Linked DNA regions of Drosophila melanogaster. The gene in region 1 interacts genetically with each later gene. Each region holds a gene or a part of one and is shown on either strand. Other genes may lie near its edges.

The links.
Region 2: of btz (region 1) and CG7483, changing one enhances a phenotype caused by changing the other (phenotypic enhancement), as found in Drosophila melanogaster (one study listed by BioGRID).
Region 3: of btz (region 1) and Nct, changing one enhances a phenotype caused by changing the other (phenotypic enhancement), as found in Drosophila melanogaster (one study listed by BioGRID).

What each region holds. Positions count from the first base shown.
Region 1 is NT_033777.3:27,698,862-27,705,411, forward strand, and holds btz (barentsz), read left to right. Parts: upstream 1-1,563; 5' UTR 1,564-1,723; coding exon 1,724-4,072; coding exon of another isoform or gene 4,073-4,207; 3' UTR 4,208-4,584; downstream 4,585-6,550. Other genes in the region: ALiX (ALG-2 interacting protein X), read right to left, coding at 225-506, 574-692, 907-1,118; CROT (carnitine O-octanoyltransferase), read right to left, coding at 4,863-4,995, 5,052-5,468, 5,529-5,659, 5,729-6,526.
Region 2 is NT_033777.3:8,309,880-8,315,364, forward strand, and holds CG7483 (uncharacterized protein), read left to right. Parts: upstream 1-3,328; 5' UTR 3,329-3,458; coding exon 3,459-3,591; intron 3,592-3,651; coding exon 3,652-4,018; intron 4,019-4,073; coding exon 4,074-4,265; intron 4,266-4,326; coding exon 4,327-4,834; 3' UTR 4,835-4,985; downstream 4,986-5,485. Other genes in the region: CG11693 (uncharacterized protein), read right to left, coding at 1-27, 84-126; CG11694 (uncharacterized protein), read right to left, coding at 1,404-2,189; CG11698 (uncharacterized protein), read left to right, coding at 2,365-3,153; Coq2 (coenzyme Q biosynthesis protein 2), read right to left, coding at 5,275-5,484. UniProt on the Drosophila melanogaster protein: ATP-dependent RNA helicase. Core component of the splicing-dependent multiprotein exon junction complex (EJC) deposited at splice junctions on mRNAs. Involved in exon definition of genes containing long introns, including the rolled/MAPK gene.
Region 3 is NT_033777.3:24,849,975-24,856,835, forward strand, and holds Nct (nicastrin), read left to right. Parts: upstream 1-1,626; 5' UTR 1,627-1,674; coding exon 1,675-1,738; intron 1,739-1,863; coding exon 1,864-1,959; intron 1,960-2,011; coding exon 2,012-2,701; intron 2,702-2,763; coding exon 2,764-3,565; intron 3,566-3,628; coding exon 3,629-3,840; intron 3,841-3,901; coding exon 3,902-4,112; coding exon of another isoform or gene 4,113-4,116; exon of another isoform or gene 4,117-4,250; coding exon of another isoform or gene 4,251-4,263; exon of another isoform or gene 4,264-4,387; coding exon 4,388-4,412; 3' UTR 4,413-4,895; downstream 4,896-6,861. Other genes in the region: Esp (epidermal stripes and patches), read left to right, coding at 1-259; CG7006 (uncharacterized protein), read left to right, coding at 741-796, 848-1,334; HDAC11 (histone deacetylase 11), read right to left, coding at 5,129-5,971, 6,028-6,216; CAH4 (carbonic anhydrase 4), read right to left, coding at 6,483-6,593, 6,643-6,722, 6,775-6,861. UniProt on the Drosophila melanogaster protein: Essential subunit of the gamma-secretase complex, an endoprotease complex that catalyzes the intramembrane cleavage of integral membrane proteins such as Notch.

The DNA.
Region 1 (6,550 bases):
TAATTTCAAAGGAAATAACTGGGTAATGTCCCCACGTATCAAAAGTAATATCTTCGGATAAGCTTTGTCCGAAAAATATTGCATTGAGTGCTTTTATTGTATGCCAAAGACGCTTTTACCTGATAAAATAGTTTATCGCCCAATGTAAACAACTAAATTTTGCTCATAGATAAGCATTTAAATGTGAACGGTGTTCGTGCTCTTTGTGAATTAATTTTACATACCCTTAATTGCCTTCAGAATGAAAACCTCCTGCGCTTGGGCGACCATCAGAGCCTGCAGCACGGTTAGCGTATCCTGGCTGAGATCGGGCGTGGGTTCCGAGGGCACTGCCGCTGGCGTCGCTCCCTTCAAATACTGAAAGATGCCGGCGCTCTGCTGGAGCAGTTTGATGGTCAGCTTAAGGCCGTCATCCGAATCCAGGGACTGGTTGGCAGCGATGTTGCTCTGCAGGGCGGCAATGTTGAAGAGCACACAGACCTTCTCGTAAAGCAAGGAGGTGTGAGCTGTGGATGGTGGATGCCGTTGGGTTAGTGGTGAAATATACTTGGCACATGGCAATGAATCACTCACTCAGGCTGATCTTGCCGCCGAAAATGGAGCCCTTGTCGAAGGCATCCTTCCACTTAAAGGGTATCTGAAGTTCGCTAACCGATATCTTGGTCTCCAGCGCACAAATCTGGTCATAATAGCTGGAAATACAGAGCAGGCAACAAAACCCGGAGGCAAAACATTTAGTTAACGACTACGTCATCCGAGAGCTTGTTTACGTCTGACCACCACACCAATACAGAAGCACCAGGTGGAATCGAATCGAATGGAATGGGTGTGATTAGCTGCCCCGTTGTGCGGGTGACTCATCGGGAGATTCCCGGAAGAAGGCCACAAAGACATGGTGGTACTTACGCGTACACAATCTCCAGCGAAGCCTCGTACTTTTCAAAGAATTTCCAAATTGCCGTATTGCGTTGTTTCGAAAATTCGTTGACGGCCTCTCCGTACTTGCCCTTCTCCTCCTCCGACGCACCGTTGTAGGTGCTCTGGATGAGATTGTTCAGCGGCTTGATCACATCCACCTCCGACGGCTTCTTCAGCGGCACGCCCAGAAACTTCGACATCTTTTCCTGTTCTGCGGAGTCTGCTTCTTGTCCGACTTCTGATTCCAAGTGATATTAATTAATCGTCTGTCGCTCTATTCGAACTCCGCTTTACGCTCTCTTTCCTTCCCCTACAACAGCTGGCCAGCGATGTCCAGCCGTCGATACCGTTTTCGATAGCCACTAAAGAAATACTAAGGATTTAGTTCTATACTTCAAAGGTGAATTTTTGTCAAAGATACTTAATATTGTAAACTATTAAAAAAAAGTAATAGAATATTTTTTCTATGTTCTATGTTCTATATGTTTTTTATTACTAACATGAACCGGTAACTACCAGAGCTGCCACTATTTCAATACGTATGCACATTGCTACGTTTCTCGCCCTGTCGTTACGTTTTCAACAGTGTGGCATCTCTGCGGCGAGAGAAAGGTAACCCTAGACTTTCTATTTTCTGATTGCGTTGTTGTCGAGAAAATTGTGCGAAATTATTGGTTTTTTCTTAGAATTTACCGTAACAAGAAGCACGCTTACTAGAGTAGTTAGGCCTTGTCAAGAATTCGCACGTGAGTTGATATACGGAGCCCTGGCTTGGATATCCCAGTGACACCTAGAATCCCGTTCTATGTCATTCCGCAGAAGAAGCAGCAGCAGCAGTAGCGAGGCAGAAAACCGAAGAGACCCCGCGATGGCCGAAGTGGAGAAACCAACGGCGGCCACGCCCCCGACCGACATCCCCCAGGCCACGGCTGCACCTGCCAGCGAGGCGCCAGTGGCTGTAACGCCCACAGCGGATACCACCGTGGACGTCGAGCCGGGCACCTCGCCCACCCAGGAGCCCAACTCCAATTCGCATCCGCACGACTCCGAGTACGACACGGCCAGTGATCTGGAGGGCGGAGAGGACTATGACGACGAGGAGAGTGCCAGCGGCAGCGCCAGTGGCAGTGGGAGCGAGGAGGAATCTGAGACGGACGACGAGGACGATGAGGTGGGCAGCGAAACGGACGATGGCGAAGGGGAGCAGGCGATGGACCGCTCCGTCGCAGACAGTGAGGCCCAGAAGAAGGTGGACGAGGATCGCAGCAATCCGCAGTACATCCCAAAGCGGGGCACTTTCTACGAGCACGACGATCGGACGGCGGAGACCGAGGGAGAAATCCTGATCGAACCCGAAAACGGTGCTGGCCAGGCGGCGGCGGAGCCAAATGGCGAACTCAATGGACTTGCGGCCGCCGGTGCCACGCCGACTGGCCAAACGCCACAGATCTCACAGGCATCGAAGACCATGCGAAAATGGCAACCAGCTTCAGGCGGTGATCGCTGGTCTCACGATCGATTCGAGGCCACGGAGCAGGCTCCCAAATCCCGTGCAGAGTTGCTGCAAACATACGGCTACGACATTAGAAACGAGGACGCACCACCCAGAGCCAGACGTCGCCGGCGATATACGCGTGGGCCTAGTAAATACTCAAGAAACTGGGAGGACGAGCAGGCCTACCTCAAAGCCAGCAATAAGGAGCGCAAGCCGCCGCGGCCACAGGACTTCCCGGCGCTCAACGAAAGAAAGCCACGTGGTCCACGAACATCATCCTCGCGTGAGGAAAAGGAAAACCGACGGTCCGTCGCTGCTGAAGGCTTGGTTCCAGAGAAGCAACAGCCCTTGGCCAGTAGCTCCAATCCACACAGATCCCAGGAGCGTGAACGTGAGAGGGAAAGGGAGCGGGAACGCGATCGAGAGCCCAAGAATCGCAACTTCGGGCGGATGAACGGCGGCCCCGGACGTCAGAATGGCATGGAATTTAAGAAGAACAACCGTGGACAGCAGCTAAGAGAGCGGGAGCGGGGGCCAGACCAACTGGACAACCGTAACCAGAAGCCATCCACTCCACGCTCCAACCAACAACAACAGCCGCAGCAGCAACCTCATCATCAGCAACAGCCACAGCAGCAACGACAGCCGTCCCAGCCGCAGCAGTCTCCACAGACGCCGCTTTCCACGTCGAACCTTTCGCAGCGGCTCCAGCAGGTGCAGCAACGCAATGATCCCAGCCATGTGGGCAGTGTCCAGATGCATTCTCTGGCTAGCCAAAATCAGGCGCCTCAGCAGCAGCAGCAGCAGCCACTGCATCAGGAACAACGAAATGCGCCCAAGCGCTACTCCAGCTTGCGTCGCTCACAGCAGGAGGCATCACAGCACTTGGCTGAGCAGCAGCAACAGCAGATGCAGCAGCAGTTGCATCTTCAACAGCAACAGCAGCAGCAACAATCGCAGATCATGATTCAGGACCCCCATGTTCTGATGCAGATCGCCTATCAGCAACAGGAGCTGCAGGCCCAACTGCAGACCATGCAACTTGGACCACCTACTGCCGCAGGAGCAGTTCCAACACCACCAAAGCCACATGCCCCGCCGGCAGCCGCATATCCGCAAGCACAGGCGGCACCGTACTATGTGACCGGAACGGAGCCAGTTCCAGTGCCCGTTCCCCAGGCACCGTATGTTAATCCGGCTAGTGCCGCTTACTTGCCAACCACTCCGGCTGCCGTGGCGTACGCCCAAGCAGGGCCTCCGGTTGTAACACAACCCACACCGCCGCCCGCTCAGGCGCCGCCCGCAACGCAGCCGGCTCAGCCGTATCAGAACTACAACACGGTCGGTGGCACAACCTACTTTGTACCGCCGGCTCAAACCACTAGCCGACCAAGTGCTCTGCCCCAGCGTCGTCCCACCAACGCGATTCCCATTCTCCCGCCCTCCGAAAAGCATAAGGTCAAGGGTGGAGCGAAGGAGGAGGGCATCTCGGACAACATAGATCACATCATTGACAACATGTTCGTGCAGCGACCTTCGGCCTTCCAGGCTACCGGCGAAGGCGCAACTCCAGGTGGGGGAACAAAGGAAGAGGCGGCAGCCACTCCACCGGCTGCCGAGCAGAACCTTCAGCCAGTTCCGGCCACTGGGCAGGAATGAGTGCAGGCGTACGCCGGCTTGCCGCCACAGCAGCAGCAGAGACGAGGCCAACGGATAGCGCCGCCGCCCTCCTCCGGCTACTCAATGCTGCAGCCGCACGCTGGCTACTATCGACCTCCGCCCCCGCCGCACTAGTGCGGACAGCCCAGCTCCTAACTCAACTCATACGATTTTTTTTCCCCCATTCTGTCCTTGGGTCTGCGACTCAAAAAGTACTGCATAAATAAAGAAACGCAGTGAGAACCACTTGTAATTAGCATTTAGCTCCCAGATAATCGAAATTACTAACGAAAAGTTTTCGTATATAGACGATTATATATATATATATTGTAATCCGGCGCAAGCTCCAATTAATTTGTACGTAGTATCTAGGGCCGGCTAACGTATTGAAGCGGCTGGGCGCTTAGCTTATTTAGCCGCATTTTAGAATTGAAACACAAGAATTACCGAGAGAAATGTATTTGCAAAAACTAATCGATCATTGAATTTAAATAAACGTTTAACACGAAGTTACAAATGCTGCACACCCTTTCTGTCAAACTACAAACTACCAACGAAGTCTGCGTTTTCACTTAGTTTCCGGTGAAAGGTGGGTTGAACTAGGGATCCAATTTCAAATAAAAAATATTTAAATTCGACTGTTCGTTAAAATCTAGGTAATTGTGCTAATTGAAACAAAATGGAAAGAAAAACCAAAAATCTACTTTCTGATTGGAACTAAAAATGAGAACTGAATTTCAATGACGACATAAAGTAAGATTAGATCTTTTCTTAATACTAGATGAGCTTTTCATAGCTTGGATTCCTTGGCCAATTGTTCCAGGAGAACGCTGATGCGGCGGAATGAGTCCTTGAAAATGTCGTTGAACTTGCGAGCGCTTGTCTTTAGGCTATCCCGATAGGCGGTGGTATTAATGAACACACTAGAATGTACGAAATTAAAGAACAATTCAAGATAATGGAGGAGTGTCTAGCTTACGCTTCCGAGGTGATGGAGTAAAAGACGCCATAGCCATCGAAGACCATGGGCGCCACGAAACCAACGTTGGCCGTGAAGCCCAGCGTGCTGGACGAGAGCACAAAGTTACCTCCTCCGCCGCTCTTGGTGTACATCGGATCGTCGTAGAAGGCGGGAATGTCCATTTTGCTTTCATACGCCGCGCACCACAGGCCAAACAAGTGCCTATCGATGCCGTGTCCCTTGCGCGCCTCGTTCATGAAGTGCTTGTGCTCATCGACTGCCCTACGGAACGCCCTGGCCAGTGACATATCGCCAACCTGCTTGTTGGATGACGCCCTCAGGAATTCAGCCACAGCGGAAGTGCATGATCGCAGGGTCTCTGTTCGTCCATTGTAGTACTGTCGCATCAGAGCAGTCTCATATGTGGGAGCAATTCTGTTGGATATCCATGGAGTGTTGTTAGTGCTGTTTTTTTTAGTCCAGAGGTGAACTCACTCTTTATGCATTTGGTAGTAGGCCCACTGCATGACCACCTGAACAAAGGAGTCTGGATGCAGTCGATGGGTTTTCATAAAGTCCTTGCCGTAGTCATCGAACGCAGTGAAGGTCACAGTAACGTCAATACCCTAAGGATACCACATACAAAAGGATTAACTAGTTCAATAACAGGTTTCGGAAAAAGGCGTTTTGCCTACCCTGTCATCAATATCCTTCTGCACGCGCTTGATCTCGTTCTTGAGCGTATCATCCAGCTGGAAGTGCAGCTCCTTGACCTCCAAAACATTGCCTTTTTCGGCCTCTGCCCAGTCTGGCTCTGGCACCTCCAGGAAGCTCAGTTGCATGAATGTGGCGTAACTTATGCTGACCGTGCCATCGTAGCAGCTGTGCTCACCCGTCCAGTTGCAGCGTCCGTTGCGGAAGGCGATGATGCTGCTGCTGCGGTCTGCCCAGCGGGAATGGAGATCACCGTAGAGACCCAGCTGGCAGGACTCCTCGTAGTCCTTGGGCGATTGCTCGTACCAGCAGATCTCCATACATGCGCTCTCCACCAGAAGCAGCGTCTCCTTGTTTGCAACTGAGATTTCCCTCAAACGGTTGCGGTTGCGTGCCCACGTGGAGCGTTCGTCATGGCTCAGGGTGGGCACACAATCGCCCAACGGCTCGTAGTCGAGGATGCTGCGCACTCTTTGCAGGGCCACGAGGATTTCGGGAGCCGATAGGATAGTGTCGTCCTCGTGCACACAATCGAAGATGAACTGACGTCCCTTGCCGGAAATAAGCATGTGACTCGGCGTTTTGCCCTCATCCTTGGTGAGAAAATGCTTCTCTATATGATCCTGCTCCTCGCCTGGCACACGGCACGTGGAGAAGAAGTGCTTGTACAGCGCGGAGGAGTACTTTATTTTACCGCCGTTCGAGGAGAGCGGTTTGATGCTGGACTTTCTAGTCAGATCCCAAAACTCCAGCGAGTGGTGAATGTGGCGCGCCAGACTCTTCGAAAATTATACAGTCAATTA
Region 2 (5,485 bases), about 19 Mb from region 1:
TCTTGCGACCCTGCGTCGGCATGGCCACTAAATCAAAGTCCCAATTTAGCCACATTTGCATGAGGAAGTCATGTGCGACTCACCCAAAAACAGCGCCAGGAGCAGCAGGTGCAGCAGCGATGGCATCTCTGGCGATTATGCAATGGAGCAGCTGGCGAAAGGAAGTCGCACAACCGGAAGACTCGTGATCACCGCAGGCGCAAGCTTTTGGGTTCCTCTGTCGCACGCCGAGTGCTGAAAGAAAACAAATTTCCGTTTTTAATTGGGGAAAAGTTTCTTCATTGTTTTTCACGTATGTATATGCTTTTCAGTTTAGTTAGCTAGTTAGTTGTTGATTGCATCTCACTAAAATAAACTTGTTACGAAATGTACCACTTCATTCTGCATTAAAAATATCTTCACATCTGAAGGACACCTTTTGCGAGTGCATAATCATTGGGCAACCGGTTACATAGCCGCTTTGCCTATTAGCTAATATTTTATGGTGCGGCACTTTCTTTGCTCTAGGATGGCCGGTAAGTCGTTAGTGGGTCACGGAATGATATGTTCCACGAGAGAACCTGTTTAGTTTGAAGCGCAGCCAAACTGGACACTGCACACAAGGCACACACCAATCACTCAGTTTTGACACCAACGCACCTCTCGATCTCGATCTCGACTTGGACTTGGACTTGACCGACACGAACGTCCTGTGCGGACCAGAGATAAAATGCTTATGACTCGAGTGGAGGATCGCCCGCCAAGCGGAGTCAATGTGGATGGACGAGTTCGGTGAAAAACGCTTTTACTTTCGCACTAGATGAAGCTAGGAGCGCGCAACAGGTAGAGCTGGAGGCTGGTGGCTGGGGGAGCGGCAAGTGGGCGCAGTAAATCCGGTGGAGACTCAACGACGATTGCCAGTTGGCCACCAGAGGCGCCATGTATTTATAAACGAACTGGTCGGGTCGCCGAAAGAAAGTGCAAACCCGTTGGCTGTTGGTTTTCCTCGCGAGCTGGCCATGCACCATCATCCAACAACGATGGTGCTGGGTCAATGCTACCAGGCGGCTGCTCGATTGGATAATTTGTAGCCGCAATTATGGCAGAGCGTCTAATTGCCATGAGACGCTTTAAATGCCCGCTCCGGGAGAGATTGCATATGACGAAAGACCGATGAAGTCCGATGATTGTTCGCTTCCTCGCAGATCCGCGTGTGAACACGGAGGAGTGTTCGGAAGCTTAGCGAGGTGTGTTGAGTATACGCCCCGTAATCCCCAATTGCATCATGATAAACTTGATGTCACAATTTGTAGTTTATAATTGTGATCTCACCTACGAACTATTGAATTTAATAAAACTGAATTATATTCTCCCTTTTGAAAATGCAAAGTAAAATAAAATATAAGATATACAAGTTATTGGCTTCAGTTGGTGCGCCCCCTCTTCAGCCAGAGTAAGTGCCTCAGTTCCGCCCTCCTGCGCTCCCTGGTGGCCCTATGCCTGGCCTCCTGGGCAGCACAGGCTGCCTTCTCGGCGGCGTTTTTGGTATTCTTGAAATCCACACGGGCCACCTCCAGCTGGCGGAGCAATAGCTCCACCCGCTTCTTGGCCGCTTCCACAAGCTGTTGCTTCTCGCCCAGCTCCTGCTGAGCGCCACTGGCCACGTGCTCCGAGTTGACCACATTATCCTGCGCATTCTTCACCGCCAGCGTAATGGTGTTCAGCTGATCTGCCGCCTGTTTGGCCGCTTGCCCGGCCGCAGCATAAGTAGTTTGGGTGGTCTGTAACAAGGTGCTCTCCTCCTGGACCACTAGCTCCCCCTCGCGCACCTCGGACTCCAGTTGCTCGACAATCTGTTGCTTGCCGGCCAGAGCAGCTTCTGCCGCCTTGGCTGCGGCCAGCGCTTTGTCGGCCAGTTGCTGCTTCACCTGGCGGGCAGCTGCCTCGCCAGCCTCTATCTGGGCATCGGATGCCTCCATGGCTTCCTTGGCCGCCTTCTGCGCAATGCATGAGGCCTTTACCCTGGTCTTTCCATTCATCTTGAAGTCGCACGGGGCACCGCCGGAGGATGACGACACACTGTTGTCGCCATCACCATGATGATCCGACATTAGAGCAGCTATCTCATTGGAGGACTGCGGCAACTTGTGGCCCGCAGAATGATCTGAGAACAGGAAGAAAAGTAGAAATGCGATTCGTGCTATCTCCATGCTTAACTCGAAATAGTTGTATTAAACGGATTTCTAAAGATATTTAAGAAATATATACTCCAGGTAACTTGTGGTTACTGTACAAATATTTCAAATAATAGTGATTTGAAAGGTGGAGCTGCTATATTCCCATTATTATCTCCACATTTCGATTTCCTGATGAGCCTTGAGATTTATGTACGATGCAAGATTCCCAATGCGTTGCGACTCCCTGGTTACGATGTTGCTTCTTTCGAACATCCTGCTGTCGACCGCCGCGCATCCTGCCCAGCGGAATGATCCGCGTTTCAAGCCCGGCTCCCTTCCCTGCAAGACGAGCATGAAAGCCAGCCAGGTGGCCTCGAAGGCGGCCAAGGATGCGAAGGACGCCAAGGATGCGCAGCCATGTGCCGCGGAGATGGCGGGCTACAGGGCACGGGAAATGCTGGCGGACAGGGCGTTGCAGGCGGCCAAGGCTGCGGAGGCGGCTCTCAACGGGAAGAAGCAGCTCCTCGATGAATACACCAAAAGTCTGGCAGAAACGAACAGGGTTATCGAGGAAATCCAACGAGCCATTGCTGCCAGCTCGTGCTCGGCGACGTCGGCAAAGGGGATCCGTGACAAGCTCTGCACATCCGTGAACATTATGAAGAGTATGCTAAAGGAAATGGGCGGAAATCTCGATAACATCCGGAGGATGGCCGACAGTGCCCAGAAAGAGGCCCTGGAAAAGCGCAGCCTTCTGAAAGCGGCCAGGATGCGGGTGGAAGAGCTCCATAGCTGCATGTGCGAGGCTCAGAAGGATCTGGAGCGAAATAAGCAGAGCGCTAAGAAGGCCAACGACGCCGCCAAGGAAGCACAGCAACGGATCGAAGCTTTGCAAAAACTGGTGAGCAGGATTAAGATGCTGAAGCGAAAGGATCTTCAGTCGCTCGAGAACTTCCTGCGCAGGAGAAGAAGTAGCACTCCGGAAAAAACAAGTTGAGTTTCTTGTTTGTTATGGCAATAATCATATTTATATTTTATAAAATACAATAAATAAGAACATATATTCACTTTAAATTTTTTCCGCCCGATATCAGTGTTGCCACTTGTCGCAAAATAAGTGAAAACATATCGATATCAAATTAAATCGACGCCGATTCAATAATCGATTGTTGCTAAGCAATTGATAGGCCACCCCTAGTAAGCGGACCGCATTTTTTTCTGTGAAAGTCAGAAAAATTAGCCGAAAAAGACTGTAAATATTTATTAATATCAGCCGAAACCGCACGCGAACAAATCGTGAACATGGCGCGCAAGAATGCCCAGGCGGAGGACCTCTCCAACGTGGAGTTCGAGACGAGCGAGGATGTGGAGGTGATACCCACATTCAACGCCATGAATCTAAAGGAGGAGCTGCTACGCGGCATCTACGCGTACGGTGAGTGGTGTGTATACCTATGGCCGGTCTAGAACTAATCCAGTTTTCTGCACTCCCAAGGCTTCGAGAAACCCTCGGCCATTCAGCAAAGGAGCATTACGCCTATCGTCAAGGGACGGGATGTGATTGCCCAGGCACAATCAGGCACGGGCAAAACCGCCACCTTCTCCATCTCCATCCTGCAGAGCCTGGACACCACGCTGCGGGAGACGCAGGTTCTGTGCCTGTCGCCCACTCGCGAGTTGGCTGTGCAAATCCAGAAAGTCATTCTTGCCCTCGGCGACATGATGAATGTCCAGTGCCATGTGTGCATCGGTGGCACCAACCTGGGCGAGGATATCCGCAAATTGGACTACGGTCAACACATTGTGAGCGGCACTCCAGGACGAGTCTTCGACATGATCAAGCGACGAGTGCTGCGAACAAGGTATGTTTCATTGTGCCCGATCAAACAATATTATAATTATAAGTACATTTTATAGAGCCATCAAGATGCTAGTGCTGGACGAAGCTGACGAGATGCTTAATAAGGGTTTCAAGGAACAGATATACGATGTGTATCGCTACTTGCCACCAGCCACCCAGGTGGTGCTCATCTCAGCTACCTTGCCCCACGAGATACTCGAGATGACCTCCAAATTTATGACAGATCCGATTCGCATCTTGGTCAAGCGGTAAGCAATATGATGCTCCCCCATATACGCAGTATGATTCATAAATTCCATTCCCTCACAGTGACGAATTGACACTGGAAGGCATCAAGCAGTTCTTCGTCGCCGTGGAGCGCGAGGAATGGAAATTCGATACCCTGTGCGATCTGTACGATACTCTGACCATTACCCAGGCCGTCATCTTCTGCAACACGAAACGCAAGGTGGACTGGCTGACGGAGAAGATGCGCGAGGCTAACTTTACAGTCAGCTCGATGCACGGCGATATGCCGCAAAAGGAGCGTGACGAGATCATGAAGGAGTTCCGAGCCGGCCAGTCGCGAGTGCTCATCACCACCGATGTGTGGGCTCGGGGTATCGATGTACAGCAGGTGTCGCTGGTCATCAACTACGATTTGCCCAACAACCGTGAGCTGTACATCCATCGCATCGGTCGTTCTGGTCGTTTCGGACGCAAAGGTGTTGCAATTAACTTTGTCAAATCGGACGATATCCGCATCCTGCGCGACATTGAGCAGTACTACTCCACACAAATCGACGAGATGCCCATGAACGTGGCTGACTTGATCTAAACTAATATTCTATCATTACTTTTATGTAACGCACTTTTCCTAGCCGTAACAACAAACGAATGAAGTAAATACATTTGAAGAGTATTTGAATTTCAATAGACAACCAAAATCTGTATAATAATAATAAATAACACGTAAGAATTTAATACAGAAACCAGTTTGCTTTTCAAATGGGTTAGGAGGGCTCAGGGGATGGGTGATTTACGTAAGTTCTTACGTCAAGGCGGGCACTTACAATTAAGAATTAATTGATGTTTAAGTGAGGTGTGCACTTAGTAATATTCTTTAAGACTTAACCTATTGCAAATGAGCTAAAAATGGTCATAAGCCTATTTACAAGATTTTATCTAATCAGATACCTAGAGACTTTGGTTTTGGCGAATCAAAAAGCGCGCTATAAACATAATTTAACACTACAATCTACGCTCGTCTGGCTCATCTCAGCTTAAAACTTCTGGCTTTTGCGGCAGCGCTGGAACGTACGAGCTGGCCGTCGATGTTGTTAGTGAGGATTGTCGCTGTTTCTTGCTTTCGTCTGATTTCAGAAGGGTGCCCAGAACAATGCCGAGGAAGAGAATGAGTCCTACTTGGTGGTTCGATATGAACTTTTTGGCGCAGTCGCTGGGGTTGTCAATGTTGAGGGAATAGATC
Region 3 (6,861 bases), 2.8 Mb from region 1:
TAGGCAAAATGTCCCAGTGGTCATAGATGCGTCGCATGTCTACGGGGCTGACTTCACAACGGCCACGGTTATAGACTCGCTGATCAGTGATTTCAATCAGCGAGGACAACTGCTCTTCTTCTACAACCTCAAACCGAGTATCTGCTCCATTTTCGAGCACGTGTCGGCGGCCCAGTTCGTGGTCTACTACCAGGAGCAGCAGTTGGATGAGCTGCTCAAGGAGCGCAACTATGTGCAGAAGCGGCTCGAGACGGCCTAACTGGCTTATTCTCCTCAACACGTGATACAAATAATTTAGCCTAAGTGTTTGCTTTAATTATTTATGGCGTTGTAAATAGATTGTAAACTAATTGTGTAGTATTATCCAGAGCACACAACTATTAGAAATTGTAAGGTGAACAAATAAGTGTATTTCTTAATTACGTAATAATAACAAACAAAAATAATTTATCTTGTTTATTTCATGAAAGAGTAAAAGTCAGTGAGATTGGTTAACTCAAATCAATTAAAACTATTATTCAGTTTTGTTTATCAGATATATTTGATTTTGAATTTAAATACTTGGGCAATATACAACACTTGATAATGGCGCTATACAGCACTCTTAAGCTATCGATAAAAGCTATAGATAGACCGATATATTCAGTGCTGTTAGCCGTCCCTACTCAACACTGAAACATTTCTCACGTGTAAAGTTGAGCAGTTTGTTTTCCTCTTTTTTCCGCTTAATTTAACTTAAAATGAAACGCCTGAGCGACGAACGTGCCAAGATCTTGTTCGAGCACCTGTCCAAATAGTGAGTACCCAAAACAGATCATCGCAATGCAGCTAACAAGTGCTCTTACAGCATTGGCACAAATGTGAAGCATTTGATTGACCGGCCAGATGGAACATATTGCTTTCGGGAGCACAAGGATCGGGTCTACTACGTCTCGGAGCGGATTTTGAAGCTGAGCGAGTGCTTCGGCTACAAGCAGCTGGTGTGCGTGGGCACCTGCTTCGGCAAGTTCTCCAAGACCAACAAACTGAAGTTCCATATCACGGCCCTCTACTACTTGGCGCCCTACGCCCAGTACAAGGTGTGGGTGAAGCCCTCCTTCGAGCAGCAGTTTCTCTACGGCAACCACATACCCAAAACAGGACTGGGTCGCATCACGGAGAACGCCGGCCAGTACCAGGGCGTGGTGGTCTACTCCATGAACGACCTGCCTCTGGGCTTCGGCGTACTGGCGCGTTCCACAACGGACTGCAAGACCGCCGATCCCATGACCACCGTATGCTTTCATCAGTCGGATATCGGCGAATATATTCGCGCCGAGGACACGCTCTTTTAGATCCATAGATGCTAAGTTTTTACATGTTTTGTAGCAATAACCATGTTTAGGTAAATAATAAGTATGCTGAAAAACGGATAAACTGCTTTTGATTTTATATTTTTAATGTTAATACTGATAATAATAATAATTGATAATAAAACTTACACTACATTTCATAAATTATTATTAAAAAAAAAAATTTTAAATAGTGAGCCAATATTTTGTGGTATATTTTATGCAAGGTATTTTTTGAGTTTGAAATAGTATATACCCGCATTTTCAATGCCAATGGTATTTTGTACCGAAACGGTCACACGCAACACTGCAATTTCTGGACGCGATTTCGTGGGAATCTTCGATGGAAATGCGTCTGAATGCGGCTTCCATATGGCTGTTAATACTGTCGTATGGAGCAACTATTGGTAATAATCAGGACGAAAACAAAGTGGAGCTTCCAGTAGCGACCGGCGTCGAAAACCCGCACGCCCACTTTTTAATATAGGCCAAATAACCTGAGTCATCTAACCCGAACTTTCTTTGTCCACAGCTCAAGGAGAAAGAACCCGCGATAAGATGTACGAGCCCATTGGAGGAGCTAGCTGTTTCCGACGGCTGAATGGCACCCATCAGACAGGCTGTTCCTGTGAGTCCATTGAGAATATACCTTGAAATCCTCTATAATTCTTTCTTTTCAGCAACCTACTCCGGTTCCGTGGGCGTACTACATCTAATAAACGTCGAGGCCGACCTGGAATTTCTTCTTAGCAGCCCACCATCTCCACCTTACGCCCCCATGATACCACCTCACCTGTTCACACGTAACAACCTGATGCGCCTAAAGGAAGCCGGACCAAAGAACATTTCTGTGGTGCTGCTGATCAACCGCACGAACCAGATGAAGCAGTTCTCGCACGAACTCAACTGCCCCAATCAGTACAGCGGCCTGAACAGCACCAGTGAGACCTGCGACGCCAGCAATCCAGCCAAAAACTGGAATCCCTGGGGCACTGGACTTCTGCACGAGGACTTTCCCTTTCCTATCTATTACATAGCCGATTTGGATCAGGTCACCAAGCTAGAGAAGTGCTTTCAGGACTTTAACAACCATAACTACGAGACGCACGCGCTGCGTAGCTTGTGCGCCGTCGAGGTCAAGTCCTTTATGTCCGCCGCTGTCAACACCGAGGTCTGTATGCGCCGCACCAACTTCATCAATAATCTTGGAGGAAGCAAGTACTGCGATCCGCTCGAGGGACGGAATGTTTACGCCACCTTGTACCCCCGAAAGCCAGCAATCGAAAACAACTTGGAGACAGTCCATACGAATGAAAAGTTCATATTAGTAACCTGTCGCCTGGACACCACCACCATGTTCGATGGCGTCGGTGAGTTCAAGTAGTGGAATTACTACTACTTCGACTACATGATTTATTTCTACAATTCACAGGTCTTGGAGCCATGGACTCCCTCATGGGATTTGCTGTTTTCACTCATGTGGCGTATCTATTAAAACAACTACTTCCGCCGCAAAGCAAAGACCTTCATAATGTCCTCTTTGTGACTTTTAATGGCGAATCCTATGACTACATTGGTTCTCAAAGATTTGTATACGACATGGAGAAACTTCAATTTCCTACTGAATCCACAGGCACGCCTCCGATTGCCTTTGACAATATTGACTTCATGCTGGACATCGGGACACTGGATGACATATCGAATATTAAGCTGCATGCGTTAAATGGAACGACTTTGGCTCAGCAAATTCTAGAGCGGCTAAATAACTATGCGAAGTCGCCACGCTATGGCTTTAACCTGAACATTCAGTCCGAGATGAGCGCTCACTTACCACCTACGTCGGCGCAATCATTTCTGCGACGTGATCCAAACTTCAATGCATTGATTCTAAACGCTCGTCCAACGAACAAGTATTATCATTCCATATACGATGACGCGGATAACGTGGACTTCACCTATGCGAACACAAGCAAGGATTTCACCCAGCTGACGGAAGTTAATGACTTTAAAAGCTTGAACCCAGATTCACTGCAAATGAAAGTGCGCAACGTTTCCTCTATTGTGGCCATGGCCCTATATCAGACAATAACTGGAAAGGAGTACACTGGCACCAAGGTGGCCAACCCTCTGATGGCAGATGAGTTCCTTTACTGTTTCCTGCAATCGGCGGACTGCCCACTCTTTAAGGCCGCATCTTATCCGGGCAGTCAGCTCACCAATTTGCCTCCGATGCGGTAAGTTAGCTATAAACATGCCTATACTTGGATTTATTTATTGCTAGCCTTTCTTTTCCCAAGCTACATAAGCGTCTTGGGTGGCTCTCAAGAGTCGTCGGGCTATACGTATAGATTGCTGGGCTATCTCCTGTCACAACTGCAGCCAGACATTCACAGAGATAACTGCACCGACTTGCCGCTGCACTATTTCGCCGGATTCAACAATATCGGAGAGTGTCGCCTCACCACGCAGAACTACAGTCACGCCCTGAGTCCAGCTTTTCTTATTGATGGTTAGCCCTGAAATGCCTTTATTGTCTTGTGCAAACATTTTTACAATTAAACTTTCATTAGGCTACGATTGGAGTTCCGGCATGTATTCCACTTGGACTGAATCCACCTGGTCACAGTTCAGTGCACGCATCTTCCTGCGCCCGTCCAATGTGCACCAGGTCACAACTCTAAGCGTTGGCATAGTGGTGCTGATAATATCCTTCTGTTTGGTGTATATAATCAGCTCACGATCGGAAGTCCTCTTTGAGGATTTGCCGGCAAGCAATGCCGCGTAAGTCCCTTCAGATGCATCCACTTGTACATCGTCAGTTTGCTCATCAATTACTGGGAAACTCATGTCATCTTTAGTGCTCAGATTTTGTTTGGTTTCTATGTATTGTAATATTTATTTGAAATTTATTGTTTCTAGATTATTTGGTTGATGTCACAACTGCCACAGCGACGAAATCATCGCGTTCAGCAGCTCATTCCATAGATTTCTGCATGCGTAAACTAAACGTTACTTGTAAACCAATCGATTAAGAATTTCTGATTGTGCCCTTTTAGATCGCCGCGGCCGACAGCCTGTTAAATCTTCAAAGAATATCTGATCACGTGCCGAAGATGATTGGTTGCTGAATATGATCTAAAACAAAAAACAGACTTAACAAAGACACTAAAATGATATTCTAACTCGTCTTATTTAAAACATTAAGCAAACGTTTATTTATATGTATTTTTGTATTTTAAAGTAGTAAATTAGCTTCTATCAACTACGTTGTATCATATATAGACATTTAACCAATTGCGACAAAATTCTTTCCACTTGTCCGGCCCTTTTTGCATTGTACATAGGATTAACCAACCCAATTGAACCTCTGATAATGCCAAGGAAGAGATGTCTGTACAAATATTGACAAGAAACTGCTATAACTTATAAATCACTGGAAATATTTATACCTTCTGCATCTATTGCGATACTGAACTTAATGATCTGAAATCATTACTTCATAGAAGACAAATAATTATTATAACGACTTTAAATTATATATGTTTAATAAATTTTGATAAGGTGTAAAGCAATGTCCTGTTATCTAGTTAGGTTATTTTCAAGGCAATTATTCACAGCTCTCAGATTCCAACGATTGATGTAGTTTAATCTCAACTCTTTACCAAAGAAGTCCATTTGTACTAGTGTAAAAGATATTTTCAATACTCTTAAAATCGTGGAAATACTTTTGGGAATGGTAAGAATTGGCAAAATCCGAAGTTTTGACGATATTATCGTCTTAAATATTTTTAATTTCTTTAGTTTAGCAATCCTTGAAGCCGAAGATTAACAATCGAATCTGTAATTACCCCTGCGGATGCCTTCAAGTAGCCACCACTCAGCAGCATCACCACCGGAATTCCTAATGCCCGAAATGTACTAAATACCAACCGATCCCGCTCAATAACGCCCTCCGCGGAAATAGCCAGGTTGCCCAATGGATCGCCCTCGAGCACATCGGTTCCCGCATTATAGACGACCATATCTGGACGGAACTCGGCCAGGGACTGCATCAGGCAGCGTTTTAGTTGCCGCAGGTAGAATCCATCCTCCGTGTAGTTGCGCAGCTCCACCGCACACCGAATGCTCTCCTTGGCCACATGATCCCGCGGATAGACAAAGGCATTGTACATGTCGAAAATGTAGACGGCTGCCACGTTATTGAAGTCCCGCTCGTGCCCATTGCCCTGATGGGCATCCAGGTCCACAATCATTATGCGGCGCACCCGGAATGGTTCCTGCTCGAACAGCCTGACGATGAGCAGCGAGATGTCAGCATATGGACAGAAACCACCGCCTCTGTACGAGCAACAGTGATGGAACCCACCGCCCAGGTTGATGGCCCAACCATAATCCAATGCCAGCTTACCGGCCAAAATGGAACCGGCTGCTTGAAAGCGCATGGGTCGCAAATAGGAACGCTGAATGTATCGATTCGGGACGAAGGCCATCAGCGGCACTTCAGCGATGCAGGCCACATTCATGCTCCAGCGCAGTGACTTTAGGTATTCCCTTGTGTGAATACGACGCAGCTGGTCCTTGGTCAGCTCCGTGGGTTCGTAGAAGCTGCCGTCGTCGAGCTGCAGTTGGGCGCACAGGAGCTGTGGTCCATTGATTGGTATATAAAAGTTCAGGAGATCGGGAAATGCATACGAACCTTGTGAATGTGCTTGCCCTTGGCCGCATCGAAGGGATGTAGGCGTTCAAGGCCACCGAAGCGAACCGCATAGTTCCTTGAGAACACGATGGGCAGTTTGCCGGCGGAGCGTGCGTCATCCCGCTTAACCCAGACAACCTCCTCGGACTCCTGCTCCTCGTGGTGCACTCGCTCAGTCAGGCGCTTCATTTTGTGGTTCAATTTAGGCGTGGATTACATCTGTCCGACACCAGTTGAATTGGCTACGCAAATAGCAAATGCAATTTCGCATCTTTGGGGTTGGGAACGGGAATGGGAAAGGGTGGATGCGCCATCAGCTGGCGGCCGGCAAAAAGCTTCCATTCAAGCACTTGGACTAAGCTTTTGCATAAAACAACAAATGCACTTAAAATAATTTTAATACACTATGTGACTTGGACAATACATATTACATGATATTCACTTGGCTAAAACACTTATTTTGCTTTACTTCTATAAACTGGTCGGTCATGGCCATCTTGCAGTTCCCTGTAGGTGTTAAGGACGCGCTGGTCACGAGAGTCCCTCAGTTGCCAAAAGTGCTTCCACTGTTGATTTATATCACAAAAAGGAACTACTTCTGTTTAGATTACTTACCAGCTCCTTGGGAACATCGAGAGGAGTCGGGAAAACAAACCAGATGACTGCCTCGGCACAGGGAGGAGTAGTAAGCGAACCTAAAACATATATGTATGAATGGATATCCAAAAGCCAAAAGAAACATCTCACCTTGGTAGGTGAAGTATTTTTGGCTGTCTATGCTAGCAAAAAGGTCCTGCAAAGCCATGCTGTCCTCCAGAGGACACGAATCATCCA